Sus scrofa: one gene and its partners. The protein of the gene in region 2 interacts with the protein of the main gene of each other region in a biochemical or structural test. Links are inferred from orthologs where the notes say so. Each region holds a gene or a part of one and is shown on either strand. Other genes may lie near its edges.

Region 1 (5,071 bases), on a different chromosome or scaffold from region 2:
GGGGTCACCGCAGGCACTGGGACCTTCAGGGCAGTGGCAGCACAAAAGCCTTGGCCGCGGATCTCACCGATAGGGGGACACACCCCCAGCCCCAGCCCCAGCCAGAGCTGGGAAGTCTCCGACTCCTAGCTTCAGGCCCTCGAGGGCAGAGTGCTGAGGAATCAGGTTCCGAGGACTAGAGCAGCCCGATGTCTGCAGTAATCTGGGTACTGGGAATGGGAGAGAAGTGGATGTGGGTTTCTCCGCCCAGCGTGACAAATCCTCAGCCTTTGGGTGCCAAGTGCCCTTTTTCATAATCGGAGAAGGGGGCCGCCCTGCCTGCTTGGCCGGCAGGAATTCGGCGCAGACAGCCTGGAGTTCGAAAGCTCAAAACTTGGCCATGCAACCCCACTGTCGACACTCCCCATCTCTTCGCTCTAAAGAGTGCTTTCACTCCAAGTTTGAGGTAGCCAGATCGGGAAGAGGGGGGTGGTGGCCGCAGCACCATCCCCCACGGCGCCTTTGCCCACTCTCACCTGTTCCTGGGCCCCCATCCTCCGGTTTCACTGTCTCCCAAGGCCAGCGCCCAGGTGCCCAGCCGTGCCAAGTCGTGGGCTAGCCCCACACCTGGCTCGGCCTCTCTCATCCTGCGTCTCCCCGCGTGGGGTCTTGGAGCGCTTTAGCCGGTCTGCATCACCGGCAATTCAGGAGCTTGAGCGCAAAGCAACTGCACAGGCCAGATTCCCCGAGCGCTGTGCACTCCAAACCTGATATTAGTAAGGAGGGGACTGTGCTATGTTGGAATACGACCGCATTCTCGCTGATCTACTCCGCAGTAAAATGAGCCGCACTGGCGCTTCCCTGATTATGTATCCGTGACCACTGCTTTTCCTCCCATTCCCTTTACCCATGGCCACTCTCCTCAGCCTTGAACTCTGGCCAGTTTGGTGTTTATTCAAACCCCCACATACCTGCGGAGAAAACTTGGGGAGTCACGTGGAAAAGAGGTTCAGCCCCACTTCTCCAGCGCGCGCGCTCTCCAAGCCTAGCTGCCTCCCGGAGGAAAGTGAGGGTCGCCTGAGTCCAGACACTGCGAGGTATTTTTGGTGGAAACCACAGAAGCCCGTTCATAAAAGGCTAGCGCGGGGATGGGGGGGCATGGAAGGAATGAGAAAGGAGATGCAATGACTCTTTAAAAGAAAGCTGGGGATCTGTGGAAGCAGCAGCCAGGGAAACCCGGAGATAGGAGCTGACCGTTTGGCCGCGCGCCGGTTGTAGAGCATCGGCTTACACTTCCTCACTAGGAGGGGACGCACCTCGGAAAAGGAGCGGGTAACAAGTTTTTCTGCTTCGTCACGCTTTCAGACCCTGGTTGGAGCAAGGCACCTGTAGTGAGCCGGCCCCTAAACCGCAAGCCCGGCGCAAAAGAAACAACCAGAGAGGTTTGACAGCACCTGTCGTACCAAGACACTAGTGAGCTGCAGGCTCACACACCCCCTCCCCCAGGCTCCTTGATGTCCCCAGGACCCTCTACGTACACCCCACCACAGCCTTGAGCGATAGTCAAAGGTCGCTGCAGCCAGACAGCTCACACTAGGGAGAGTCTCCGTGCACGCGCCCTCTCCAGGTGTTCAGTGCCGTAGAGGGTAGTGGGGTCCCAGAGGCGCGGAGGGGCATGTAGGGAGAGCCGAGCAGAGTGGTTGAGTTAGGGCTGGGGGGCCCCGGGGCGCACTTCTGCTCACCTCGCTCATTGGCCTGGATGTAACGCACGATGTCGTCCAGATCCAAGCCTTTGGTCTCATCGAAATTGTAGACGGACGTGTGCAAGCCCTCCTCCTGGAAGACCTCATGGACCCCCTCGAGGGTGAAGAAGCAGTTCCGCTCCAGCTTGTCGTCGCTGTAAACCAGCACGGCGCGGCTCCACTGGTGGTGACGGAACAGGGCAAGCATCATCTCTCCCATCTTTGCGTACGCTGGCGCCACGCGCGTGAGGTGCGAGTACTCGGTGTCCTTATGCTGGAAGCCGGCTGCGAGTGCCCCGGCTGACAGCATGGGCAGATCCCAGTGGGACGCAAGCCGGGCTACCGGTGCAGCCGCATACTCGCACACCGGCCCCAGGATGAGGTCGGGCTTGGCGCCCCGCGCCGCCGCCACGCGGTCCACCAGGCTGAAGAGTGCGCGGTTGCCGCAGTCCGAGTCTTCGTAGGCCACCTGGAAGCGAGTGCCTGGTGGCAGAAGCCGCCGCCCGGTCCCGTTTCCCTCCACGCTGCGCAGTGCATATTCGATGGCCGGCCGCACCCGGGCCAGGGAAAACAGGTACGAGTCGTCCTGGGGCAACAGCACCAGCACCTCGATCTTCTGCGGCGGCAGCGCCTCTCTCTCCCGGCGCCCGCCGCCCGGGCCCCCGCCAACACCGCCACCCGTGCAGCCGACCAGCAACGCCCAGTCGAGCAGTACGCACGCGGAGAAAGTGAGCACCAGCAGGGAAGGCATCGTGCCGCAGGAAAGCGCCTGCCCTCGCTGCGGACTCGCTCTCTGCCCCCCACCCACCCTTCCTCTTTCCTCCCCACTCTACTCTCCGAGGTCCCTGCGCCCCCTTGGGCGCTCTAAGAAAATAGAATACCCCCTTCACTAACTCGCCAAAAGATAGAGAGGAAGAGTCCTCCTTTGCAATGCCACTCGTTTAAAAAAAAGAAAAAAGAAGAAAGGAAAAGAAAAAGTTCACCGGGTGTAAACCTATACAGCTATATTATAAATATACTTTTTATAAATATATATATATATATTCGCCCTCCCTTTATATATACTATTTTGCTTAGAGGTGGCTTCTTATTTGGGCGTTGCTAAGGTTTCTTTTGAAAGCGTATTTGTAAAAGAAGAAAAAGTTAGACTTGTCCAGGTGCTTGTAATTGACGGTGCATCTCCCTCGCGTTTGATCTCATTGATTCGCGCCGGTTCCTGGATCCATAACCCGAGTTTAAATAGCGTGGCAGCGGCGGAGCGTGTTACCACACAAGGCGCGCCGAGGCTGGGCTTGTATTTCCAACCGGTGGGGAGGGTGGGAGTGGGGAGTGGTGGGGGCTGGGCTGGGGAGCCTCTCATTAACATTCTTACATCAGGGCTCCTCCCCGCACCCCTACTCTTCCCACCCCTCCCCTGTCCCTAACTCCCACTCCCCGTCAGACCTCGGCCTTTTCCTTAAAGCCGCAGTCGCCCACGTCTGCACCAGCAGGAGCCCCCACCGCTCCACACTGCCACCAGGGTCCCCGCCACTCCCTTGCCCCGCGTGCGGCAGCCCTCTCTTCAGCTCCGGCCTTTAAAAATGGAAATGTGTTTGAAAGTAAAGAAACGCGCGCAGGCACACACATAACGTGCAAAAAAAAAAAATAAAAAAGAGGAATGGGGTGGTCCTAGAAATTAGTGGTTTCGTTGCAAAAAAAAAAAAAAAAAGCTCTCACCTCTCTCTCACTCCAGCCACACTCCCTCCCGAAGCGACTCGGGGCGGGCAGTCGACCTTCCCAGCCCCCCTGGCTCAAGGTCAGGGAACAAGGACCAAGGCACCGATGCAGACGTCTAGGTCGCGGACCTGGAACGCCTTGCTAGCCCCGGCGTCCTCCCCCGCCCCCCGCCGGCCTCCTCCCCCTGGGCAGCCCGGGTTCGCGCCGGAGCCGAAGTGCTGCGGCGCATCCAGCGTTCCCCACGCACCCAGTGTTCCCCGCGCACCGAACACCTCCGCTGGCGCGCTTCGAGCAGAAAAGCGAAACTTGTTGCTCCCAAAGGCGAGAGAACACTTTTTCGCCTGGAGGTGGCAGAAGGCTTGAAAAGCATCTCCAAGGCATCCTTGGGCTTTGTTTGCTAAACCAGGTAACTACATAAAGAGACCTTCTTCCGAAAGCTTTTTCCCGAAGGCCCCTGGGTGGAGTCGCGTCCTCCGCTCCAGTCCTTGCGCTGGGAAATCCCACCGCTTTTCTTCCGCGGCTCGCGAGAACCTGTGCTCTAGGTTCTCCAAGGCCGAGAAAGGTCCTGCGTCCGAGACCCAGTCACGCCACTGGTCCCAGCCACAGCAGTGTTGGAGACGAGGATGGAAACGGCCTTGAAGAAGTCAGTGACCAGAAGAGCCTCGCCGGAGTGCGCTGCGCTGCAGGGCAGGACCTAGAGGAACTTGACCCTCTGAACCTGGTTAACATTTCACCGAGGTCATTTGCAATGTGAACCTGCTACTTTGGAAGGGTGAATTCCACCACTTAGGTCCCGCGAATTAAAATAAATTGAAAGTATTTTAAAATGGTCTTTCATTTGACTGGGCGTTCTTGTCCATAAACTTCTCTTAGTCTTAGACCAACGCCCTCTTTCGGCAGAAACTTGCAGCCGCCGTCTACCCCGGTTGCCACCTCCCCAGGCGCTGAGTTTGTTTTGGGTTTTGTTTTGTTTTGCTTTATTTAACGCCGGGATCTCAAAGAGCCATCGCTCTCATTTGTGACGGTGAAACGGTAAATTGGGGTTTCCGGAGATGTAGCAACTTCAGGCATCAGTGCTCGCCACTCTTAACATCACCCTCCTTATCGCTCTTTCTGACACTGTAAATGTAGCTGAGTAACGTTTCATCCTCGGGGCATTTAGATTTCAGATAATGCTCTGTGGTCCCTGAATCTTCAAGTAGGACCTTATAATTCCAGCGAAAACCTTCATTCATGTTACTAGACCTGCTAGCCAGTAGCACACGAGGCATCTGTATACAATTTTATTTCCCCCCCAAAACGGGTACCCCCCACACACTGGAAATTGAGATTTAGAGCTTCACAGCGACTAAATCCCCCCTGAATTCCTAGGAAGAAGGGAGGGGGAGAGAGAGAGAACAACAAGCTAAATCCCGAATTCCAAGGGTCTTAATGGATTTCGAAACTGGTTGCCAGGAGACGTGAAGAAACCAGGGTTTACTATTACCGCTCGCTATGCCCTGTGTCTGGGGAACACTGGCCAACAGCGATATGATTCCGCTCACTGTGTAGCGCGGGCTTAGTGGGAAAGTCTGGGGTTTCAGTGGCATCGGGTGTGAAAGCCTCTCCCTGTCCCAGCGCTGCCCAGCCAGGGT
Region 2 (4,608 bases):
GATCCAAGCTGCATCTGTGACCTACACCATAGCTCATGGCAACGCCGGATCATTAACCCACTGAGCGAGGCCAGGGATCGAACCTGCGTCCTCATGAGCACTAGTCGCGTTCCTTTCTGCTGCACCTCAATGGGAACTCCCAGGATCCTCATTTTAAATATATTGTCTCTAAAAAAAAAAATAAATAACTGAAACCAAAAAATACTAGGTGCAAGAACGATCTATCAAATACGAGCTACTTTAGATGTAATTAGAAAAAAAAACCTAGGTGCTCCTGTTGTAGCCCAGTGGGTTAAGAACCTGACATAAATGTTCGTGAGGATGCAGGTTCAATCCCTGACCTCGCTCAGTGGATTAAGGACCCAGAGTTGCCACAAGCTGAGGCATAGGGCACAGATGGAGCTGGAATCCCACGTTGCTCTGTCTGTGATGTAGGCTGGCAGCTGCAGTTCTGATTCAACCCCTAGCTTGGGAACTTCCATATGCCACAGGTGTGACTATAAAAAGAAAAAAAAAACAAAACAAAAAAGCCCTGATATTTGTAACTTTTCTTTTTCAATAAATAAGTACCCTAAATGTGAGCACATCTGAGTAAAGATAAATACCCTTTGGGTCTCCTGGGGATTTTTCAAGATCCATGGTGAGGTGGCAGTGAGCATGAAGGCAGGTTAAGAGCTGTGTTTTGAGTCCCCAAGCCCTAAACACACACACACGCAAACACCCATACACAGAGGAATGAAGGGAGCCCAAAATTGTGCAAACCCATTGAATATACACCACTAAGAATGACCTCTCTGTGAACTGTGGACATTGGGTGGCTCTGCTGTGTCAGTGCAGGTACGTCGATGGGAACATATGTCCCACTCTGGGGGGGGATGTTGATAATTGAGGAGCCCGTGCATCGGGGGTGGCCAGGGTTACATGAGAAATCTCTACTTTCTGTTCAGCTTTGCTGTGAGCATAAAATAAAACTGCACCCCAAAATAATTTTATTATTTTTTACAAAGGAGGGGGAAAGGAATTGAGCATTCTTTACTCTGAGGAAAGGTAAAATGACAAGGAATAGCAGACTAAACTCCTTTCGGGAGTTGAAAGAAATCAGACCAACCACAGCCTTCAGCGTCTGTCCGTGGTGCTGAAGTTTATTGGTTTTGAAACCAATGTCAGTTAACAGGTGACTAAAATTTAATGCAGGAGTGGGAGAGGTGGAGAAGCCGCAATGAAATCACTTTACATTTAGCCTAAAATGTGAGACATGTTGACAGGAGGCTGCCCCTTGAATCGGGTGCTCTTCACACCTCAACTTGACAGCAACGAGACAGGACAAAGATGAGAGAGAGACCCCAGGGGATGAGGGTCTCTCCAAGTCTGGCCGGGGCCTGGCTCGCCTTTTCCTCCCTGGCGTTATCTTCGGTACTACAAAGAGAACAGAAACGTGTTTGGCTTGGGGACCTGGCTCTCCTGGAAAAGTCAGCTTCACAGGACAATTCTTACTTCCTACGGTCCCCTCTCCAGCCCAACGACTGCCTGAGTTGCATGAACTGGCAAACGAATTGACATGAGGAGCTAGTAAAGTCGATCCTGGTAAATTTCCATTTTGGGGGGAATCTGACACTTTGGGGAGGAGCATAAAATGCCAATCAGCCGGAAGAAGGTGAATTTTTTAAGTTCCCAGGGCTCATGGCAAGGAACTTCTTTTTTGCCTATCATTTTCTCAGCAGGCTCTAGCTGAGGATGACGTCATTGTTCCGAGAGTCACAGAGCTCCCACCCAGCTAGCGCAGAAATTTCAAAGAGAATGTGGTTTTTTTGTTTGTTTGTTTGTTTGTTTATTTATTTTATTTTTTTTTTTTTAGTGCTGCACCAGAGGCATATGGCGGTTCCCAGGCTAGGGGTCGAATCGGAGCTATTGCCACCGGCCTGTGCCACAGCCACAGCAAGGCCAGATCTGAGGCTTGTCTATGACCTACACCACAACTCACGGCAACGCCGGATCCTTAACCCACTGAGGAAGGCCAGGGATCGAACCCACAACCTCATGGTTCCTAGTCGGATTCGTTTCCTCTGCGCCACGACGGGAACTCCCCAAAGAGAATGAGCCTTAATGCTGATCCCTCTCCTGCTGAGGGCATCCCTAGTGGTACTCTTTCACAAGGCCTGAATATCAATGAAACCCCATGTCCTTCCTCCCCGTCCCATTTCCACCCCTGGTTTCTCTTACCCGGAAGCTGTTACAGCCCAGTCCACTCTGTGCTCCAATCCTGTCCATCCTACCCCCGAAGCAGCTGGACCTCCGCAGGCTCCGAGGGGCAGCAAGCAGTGCCCTCAGCTTGCTCTTCAGAAGGGCAGATCTATCGGAAGCGTCCCAGGGGCCCCGCCCCAGGGCACCCCCATCTCTCTGGGCTGGGTTCACCTCCCCGGTCCAGGGAGGTACCTCCAAAAGGGGGCTGAGAGGGGCCCCCACTTCCTCATTCTGCTCGCTTAGTACTTGTGGGGGCATAGCCTCATCTTCTAAAGGCATCTTGTCCTCCAAGTGGTCCAGCAAATTCTTGATAAAAGGAAGAGCGGGAAAGGGAGAGATCTCACTGACGGGCACCAGGTCCCAAAGCCCCCTCACCCCAGACTGTGCCCCTTTCCTGGCCCTACCTTGAAATCCATCAGGTCTGCATTGGACACGGAGCCGTACACAGGGTTCGCTCTGGTTTGCCCTGGGAACTGAAACACCAGAACGAGGAGGAAGCTCACGGTGATGGTGGAGGAGCCCATGCTGGCGTCGGTCAGGGAGTGGTCTGCCACTTGCTCCTCTTCCCTCTCCTTTCTGGTTTCCCCCTCCTGGCTTTCGTCCGTCTCTGTCTTCCAGCTGCCCTGAGCCACCTCTTTTATAGCCCCCAGGCTCTCCGAGAGCGCAAGAGGGATGGAACCCTCCCCATTCTGTCACTTGCAGTGATAAAGCCGCTGAGTGAGGAGCCAGCAGAAGATGCCCTTTTAAAGTTATCAGTCCAGCCAGCTTGTCACAGCCCCTCCACCTTGAGCAGCCCCAACAACCCCCGGGACCCTCAGCTGCAAGAGCCACATTCTTGTTGATTTGCCTCAAGAGGTTCCCACTTCAAAGGTGTGAGAAGAGCGAAAAAGAGTCCTTGGTTATCTCCCAGCGATGCCTCGGGCTTCTTTCTCCTGGGCAACGGGACCCAGGCAGGGAAGCACAGGGTGACGGCTGGCTGGCACCCAGCTCCCCTGCTGGTTTGCGGCTCAGCTGTCAGGGGCTCCAAATAAGGGCGGGAGAGGAGGAAATGGCAGGCAGCCAGCGGCTAGGGACAAATTAGTCCAGATGCTCCAGCTGACCTCACACCTGACTCCTGGGTGGGGAGGGCAGGCCTTTCCCTCCACAGGGCTGCCCTTGCTCCCTGGCTGTCACTCTCAGCCATCAGGTGAAGACAGAGGACTTTTTTAGAGTCCTAAGTCAGCCGGAACTAAATGTGACAAATGTCCCAAGAACCCTGCTCCCAAATACAAACACCCAGAAGAGTTTGGGGAACGTGGTCATCGCTCTGCAAATCTTACCCCCGCACAGCTCCCTCCGAGGAGCTGCAGGAAATGGGCCCTGAGAGGATGCTGGCATTTGCCTTTTTTTTTTTTTTTTTTTTTTTTTTTTGGCTTTTAAGGGTCACACCTGCATCATATGGAAGTTCCCAGGCTAGGGGCTGAATCAGAACTGCAGCCGCCGACCCATAGCCACAGCAACACCAGATCTGAGCTGCATATGACCTACACCACAACTCACGGCAACAACAGGTCCTTCACCCACTGAGCAAGGCCAAGGATCAAACCCGCATCCTCATGGATAATAGCTGGGTTCGTTGCCACTGAGCCACTGTGGGAACTCTCCGGCATGTTCATCTGGAGAAGCTCAGCCTCTGGGTTTGAAGCATGGAGGGCCTCACACCTTCCAGGCAAGCTCCCAGGCAAAGTTGGCTGATGGAGTGAGGGTGGGAGACAACCAGGGTCCATGCAGTTTCCCTTAACGCCGCCCACATCCTTCTCTGAGGCTAAGAAAGCGATAAGCCCCTGAGGCCTCCATTTCCGCCCCCCCCCCAACAAGAGAAACACCAGGGGTGAGCTTGTCCACGTTTAAGGAGGGGCCTCCATTCACTGCACTCAATGCTGCACACTCTTTGATGCAACGTATCCTGGGGGCAAGCCTGCACTTGAAGGGAGGAGAGCCCAGCAGTGCAGCCCCAAACGCGGCTCCAAAGAGCTATGAATAGGTGAGCAAATTCTAAAGTGTGAATTACTATCTAATTGCATGGCGCTCACCACGGTTGTCTTTATTGGTTGGGTGGAATGTGCCAGACACTGGGCTGAGAGCTATATGTGGATTCTCTCCTTTTCATCACCAGCTCCGGGATATGGTCCCCATTCACAGAGGGACAGAACTGAGACGGAGAGGGTCTGTTCCCTGCCCAGCGTCACTCATCACCGGGCAGAACCAGGACTTGAACCCTAGGTCTGACACTGGTGTCTTTATTCTCCACCCAGTTCACAGGCCCTGCTGCCTCTTTGTAGGATGCTTCCTTAATAAGCCCTTTAGACACAGTTCCGATTAAACCCT
Region 3 (5,126 bases), on a different chromosome or scaffold from region 2:
AGTTTTCAGTTATCTTTAAATAATTGAAAGTGAACAGTACATTAAGAGTCTTCCTAGCCCTGAAATGCTGTGATTTTGGCAGAGATCGTGTCATTTGGATTTAATTCTCTCATTAAACTGTGTGTAGTTGCTTGAACATTATTATTTGGTTGACTGGTTCTGAAGTTAGAGCCATGTCCTTTTCAGATTGTCTCATCACCCTTTTGACTGTTCTAGCCTCCTTTTCCTTGCTCAGATAGGACAGAATTTCTTTATACTAATAGTGTCCCTAACTGGAACTGGAGTTACATGTCTGTTAAAGAAAGAGCTAAGTTTTCCTAAGGGCTGGAAGCAAGAGACATTGTTGGAGGGCTTGCCTTGGGCCTCTGCACCCGAGGGATTCCAGTTGTATGCTCTTCAAAGGTAAGCCTGTGTCATTCAGCTTTTTGTCTTCACCCCTCAGCTTGTGCAAGGCGGCGGGTGTTCAATAAAGAAATATCCTTCCTAAGAATAAAATGGCATCATCCTTAATTTCCCCCCCAACTACTAGGTGTCGCCTTCATCTCAGAGAAACTAGGCCCCTCCTCTCCCCTCACACCCACCTTTCTCCCTCTACTCAAGGGACTCTCTCAGCTTCTTGGCACTAGGATTTTGGGAGAAGTGGCTTGAAGTGGGAGACAAACTGTGGCTCTCAGCAAGGGGAGGATAATGGGTTTATGTGTATCTCCTTTGTGACAATTTGAGGAAAACTCCCTAAGGCCCCACTGCAATCCCTCCCAGCCACCATGATATCATTCCTCACAAGCTGTTTCCCAGATCAGATCAGCCCTCCCTCCAGATATGGGGTGTCTGGGATGAGACTTCTAGGCTTGAAGCTAGGCAGCGGGGTGTAACCCAAGGGGGACACCGTGGGCTTCCGTTGCTGGGGGTATATGTTCTGCTCAGTCCCTGAGCTTTTATCAGGTGCGAGCTGGGGCTCTGCAGGGAGGCAAAAGACAGAAGAGGACGTTCTGGGGTCCAGCCCTGGAGCAGATGGTGCAGTGGGAGCCCAGAGGGCTACAGTGGCCTCTGAGGACCTGGCAGGGCTCAGAGGATGCTGGGGCTGGGGGTTGGGGACAGGAAGAGGGAGACTGGAGGGTTGGGTCCTGTGGAAGAAGGAGGCTCACAGACTTCGAAAGGACTCAGGAAAAATCTGCCCTGGTCCTGGAGGGGGCTGCCTTCCAGGGAGCAGTCTTACTGGTGAAGGAGGGAGAAGTTCCCGGCAATGAGGAGGGTGGTATGGTTTCCTAGGTGGAGGCCAAATGAGGATACCAAATATGTGGGTCCTGACTGCTTCCTGGAGACTGTGGAGTGTTGGAGGGACTCAGGCAAGTTAAGAAAGGAGACCCTAAGAAGAGTGGGAGACGCGAGGGGCTGGGACGAGTGACTCTGGGCTGGTGGGAGGGTGAGAGATGGAGAGCCGAGCGGGGTGGGCCAGGGGCTTGGGGGAGACTGGGGTAGGCCTTGTAGTGAGGGGACGCCCGGAACCTCGCCGGCCTGAGAGGCCCTCGCGCGGAGCCCCCCGACTTGTCACCGGGTGGGCTTGGGATCTGGGACGTCCCCGGTCCCCCGGGTGGAGGGTGGGGGGAGACAGCAGGCGCCGGAGGGTGGGGCCGGGAGGGAGGAGGAGGGGCCGCGGGGAGGGGGCGGGGAAGGCGGGCGGCCTGCCCCGGGAGTCACATTCGGCCGCCGCCGGCGCAGCGAGCGGAGACGGCGGGGCCGCGGCGACCTGACCTGGACGAGCGGCGCGCCCGGGGGCCCAGGCGGGGGCGGGAGGAAGCGCCGGGCTGCGCCGGCCGCCCGGGCCCAGGAGAAGCGGAGCAGAGAGGAGCTGGGACACGGGCGGGGCCGCCGCAGCTCCGGATGGGACCAGCGCCCTGGGCCCGTTAGTCCAAGCAGGAGCTTCAGGAGAAGCCTTCACAGGGAGATTTACCCCTGCCTTTCCCTCCCCTCCGGCCCAGGCCTCGCTTCGCTCCCCGCCTGCCCATGGTCCCAGTCCTTCCGCGGCGCTGGCCCCCTCCCACCTTGTCCCCTCGGTCCTCCTTTTCGCAGCTCTCTGCTCCCCTAGCCCCTTCAGCTGTGGGGTCCCCCCAGGCCTTCTCTTTGTACCAGTCTCCCCCCCACCCCCACCCCCACCCCATCCCAGTCTCCGATCCCCTTTTCCTTCTCAGCTTTGGATTCATCAGCCGACTTCACCTCCCACCATTCCCATCCCAGTCGCAGGCCCCCTTGGTCCCTCCCTCCTCCTGCCACCCTACTCCTAGTCCTCCCCTGTCCATGCCCTAGGTTGGTGGACCCGCTCAGTCCCTGGGGTTCCTCCCATCTCCTCCTCCTCTCCCATCCCTGCCACTTTCTGTATCCCAGCCTACCTGGCTTATCCTCGCTTCTCTTCCTGGTAGTCTTTAGGTTCCAGGCTGGGTGGTGCTTGTGCCTCCTCCGTAGGCCAGAGTGGCCCCAGGTTCTGGGGGTGGTGGGGCTGCCGCTTTCTCCCCATGGCACTGCCATCACTCCTGCTGTTGGTGGCAGCCCTGGCAGGTGGGGTGCGTCCTCCCGGGCCACGGAACCTGACGCTGGCGGTGGTGCTGCCAGAACACAACCTGAGCTATGCCTGGGCCTGGCCACGGGTGGGTCCTGCTGTGGCACTAGCTGTGGAGGCGCTGGGCCGGGCTCTGCCCGTGGACCTACGGTTTGTCAGCTCTGAACTAGATGGCGCCTGCTCTGAGTACCTGGCACCGCTGCGCGCTGTGGACCTCAAGCTGTACCATGACCCCGACCTTCTGTTGGGCCCCGGTTGCGTGTACCCCGCTGCCTCTGTGGCCCGCTTTGCCTCACACTGGCGCCTTCCCCTGCTGACTGCGGGTGCTGTGGCCTCTGGTTTTTCGGCTAAGAATGAGCATTACCGTACCCTGGTGCGCACTGGCCCCTCTGCTCCCAAGCTGGGTGAGTTTGTAGTGATGCTACACGGGCACTTCAATTGGACTGCCCGTGCTGCCTTGCTGTATCTGGATGCTCGCACAGATGACCGGCCTCACTACTTCACCATCGAGGGCGTCTTTGAGGCCCTGCAGGGCAGCAACCTCAGTGTGCAGCACCAGGTGTATGCCCGTGAGCCAGGGGGCCCTGAGCAGGCCACCCACTTCATCCGGGCCAACGGGCGCAGTGAGTGTGGCCCAGGCTATTTCAGGGTTAGGGGAGGAGGGTCGCTGTGTCCCTGGAGCTCAGCGCTGGGAGACAGGCTTCGAGGAGCTGAATGTGGTGGTCGGGATCAGGAAGCACATGTGGACTGAATCCCTGGGCGAGGGCTAGGGGCTTGTGGACATCTCAGGCAGATGTGAACAAGGGATAAGATAGCATGAGGGGTGAAGCTTGTGTTGGGGAGATCGTGGGATTGGGGGGGGTTGAATTTGAGGAGCAATCTAGAGGGTCCTGGAGTCATGAATGTGGCTGATGGTCACTCCAAAATGTGTGCCTGTCTGGGCAGAGACTTCTCAGACTGGGCCACTAAGCCCTCTTGGTGGCACAGAAAGAGTGGGGACTCCATGAATGGGCTTTGGGGTGCCGCAGATTTGGCTGGGAAATATGGTAACGCTCATGTGGAGAGAAATTCTGAGCCGTCAGTGCCTTTGAGCTTAGAGAAGGGCAGGGCAGAGTGGGGAGCGAGGAGGGCTGGGTGGGGAGCAGCAGGCAGGGCTCGGGGAAGGGGAGGGGCTTGAGGGTGAGCTCCCTTCCTCTGGGGTCTGGAGTCCGACTCTGACTTTTGCCAGATGGTCCATACAGCCCCCAGGGTACTTAAGACAGAATCTCCAAGGGGGAGGGATGGGGAACATCTGCTGGGTGGTTGATAGTTAGGGCTTCTGTTCCTTGCTAAAGATGGAAACGCAGATGGTCAGAGAGGGGGCGGTTCAGGGTCCTGGATACTTTTCTCAGAGCGCCCCTCTGTCATGTACCTGCTCCCAGTTGTGTATATCTGCGGCCCTCTGGAGATGCTGCATGAGATCCTGCTTCAGGCCCAGAGGGAGAACCTGACCAACGGGGATTATGTCTTCTTTTACCTGGACGTCTTTGGGGAGAGTCTTCGTGCAGGCCCTACGCGCTCCACAGGCCGGCCCTGGCAGGACAATCACACCCGGGAACAGGCACAGGCCCTCAGAGAAGCTTTTCAGGTATCATTTGAGCCACGCTTGAAGGGGCGGAGGGAGAGGAGCTTCTTTGGGGATTATCTGTCTCTCACAGGCCCTCAGAGAAGCTTTTCAGGTATCATTTGAGCCACGCTTGAAGGGGCGGGGGGAGAGGAGCTTCTTTGGGGATTATCTGTCTCTCACAAGACCCCACAGAAACAATAAGGAAGGAATTGTGAGCTAAACAAACTGAGACTTTCCAAGTCTAGACTCAGATTCTTTTTACTTCCACACCTTTGTGCCTCTTTCTCAGTGTGTCTGCCAAGGCTGCCTCCCAAGATCCCGAAACACTGACTTTGCTCAGTAGCGGTAGTAGATATACTGTGGGAGAGAAAAGTTCAGAAGAATATCTAGTCCCAGCCCCTGGGAGGGCTTCCACCCTTTCTGGAGAGGCCAGGCATGATTGCATTACAGTTGGATGCAAGTATGAGAAAGGTTGTGATTATGTGTCCTGGAGCAGACCCTAAGAACCTCAGTGGTTCAGAGGAGAGAGTCAGGGTGGACTGAGTTTAAGGAAGGCTTTTATCAAGGAAGTGAGAGGAGTTCCCGTCGTGGCTCAGCAGTTAGGGAACCCGACTAGCATCCATGAGGACTCAGGTTCGATCCTCGGCCTCGCTCAGTGGGTTAAGGATCCAGCATTGCCATGAGCTGCGGTGTAGATCGTAGATGCGGCTCAGATCTGGAGTTGCCATGGCTGTGGTGTAGGCTGGTGGCTACAGCTCCAATTGGACCCCTGGCCTGGGAACCTACATATGCTGCGGATGCGGCCCTAAAAAACTACATAAATAAATAAAGGAAGTAAGACTCTATTGTGACTTGAAAGGGAGATGTCGTATTCCTAGTTAGAGTGGGAGAGAGGATCCAGGCAGCTGGAGCTGAGAAAACAGGAGTGGGCATGTGTGGGGGTCCAAGAAGATACTGACCTGTCAA

The links. The genes of interacting proteins can lie anywhere in the genome.
Region 1: the proteins of NPPA (region 2) and NPR3 form a complex in vitro, tested with the Homo sapiens proteins (4 studies listed by BioGRID, with this or other methods). The link is inferred for Sus scrofa from reciprocal best matches to the Homo sapiens genes NPPA and NPR3.
Region 3: the proteins of NPPA (region 2) and NPR2 form a complex in vitro, tested with the Homo sapiens proteins (3 studies listed by BioGRID). The link is inferred for Sus scrofa from reciprocal best matches to the Homo sapiens genes NPPA and NPR2.

What each region holds. Positions count from the first base shown.
Region 1 is NC_010458.4:18,839,900-18,844,970, reverse strand, and holds the start of NPR3 (atrial natriuretic peptide receptor 3), read right to left. Parts: upstream 3,432-5,071; 5' UTR 2,473-3,431; coding exon 1,722-2,472; intron 1-1,721. UniProt on the Homo sapiens protein: Receptor for the natriuretic peptide hormones, binding with similar affinities atrial natriuretic peptide NPPA/ANP, brain natriuretic peptide NPPB/BNP, and C-type natriuretic peptide NPPC/CNP.
Region 2 is NC_010448.4:71,918,442-71,923,049, forward strand, and holds NPPA (natriuretic peptides A), read right to left. Parts: upstream 2,905-4,608; 5' UTR 2,766-2,904; coding exon 2,646-2,765; intron 2,548-2,645; coding exon 2,221-2,547; intron 1,417-2,220; coding exon 1,405-1,416; 3' UTR 1,116-1,404; downstream 1-1,115.
Region 3 is NC_010443.5:236,507,300-236,512,425, forward strand, and holds the start of NPR2 (atrial natriuretic peptide receptor 2), read left to right. Parts: upstream 1-1,695; 5' UTR 1,696-2,510; coding exon 2,511-3,177; intron 3,178-3,975; coding exon 3,976-4,181; intron 4,182-5,126. UniProt on the Homo sapiens protein: Receptor for the C-type natriuretic peptide NPPC/CNP hormone. Has guanylate cyclase activity upon binding of its ligand. May play a role in the regulation of skeletal growth.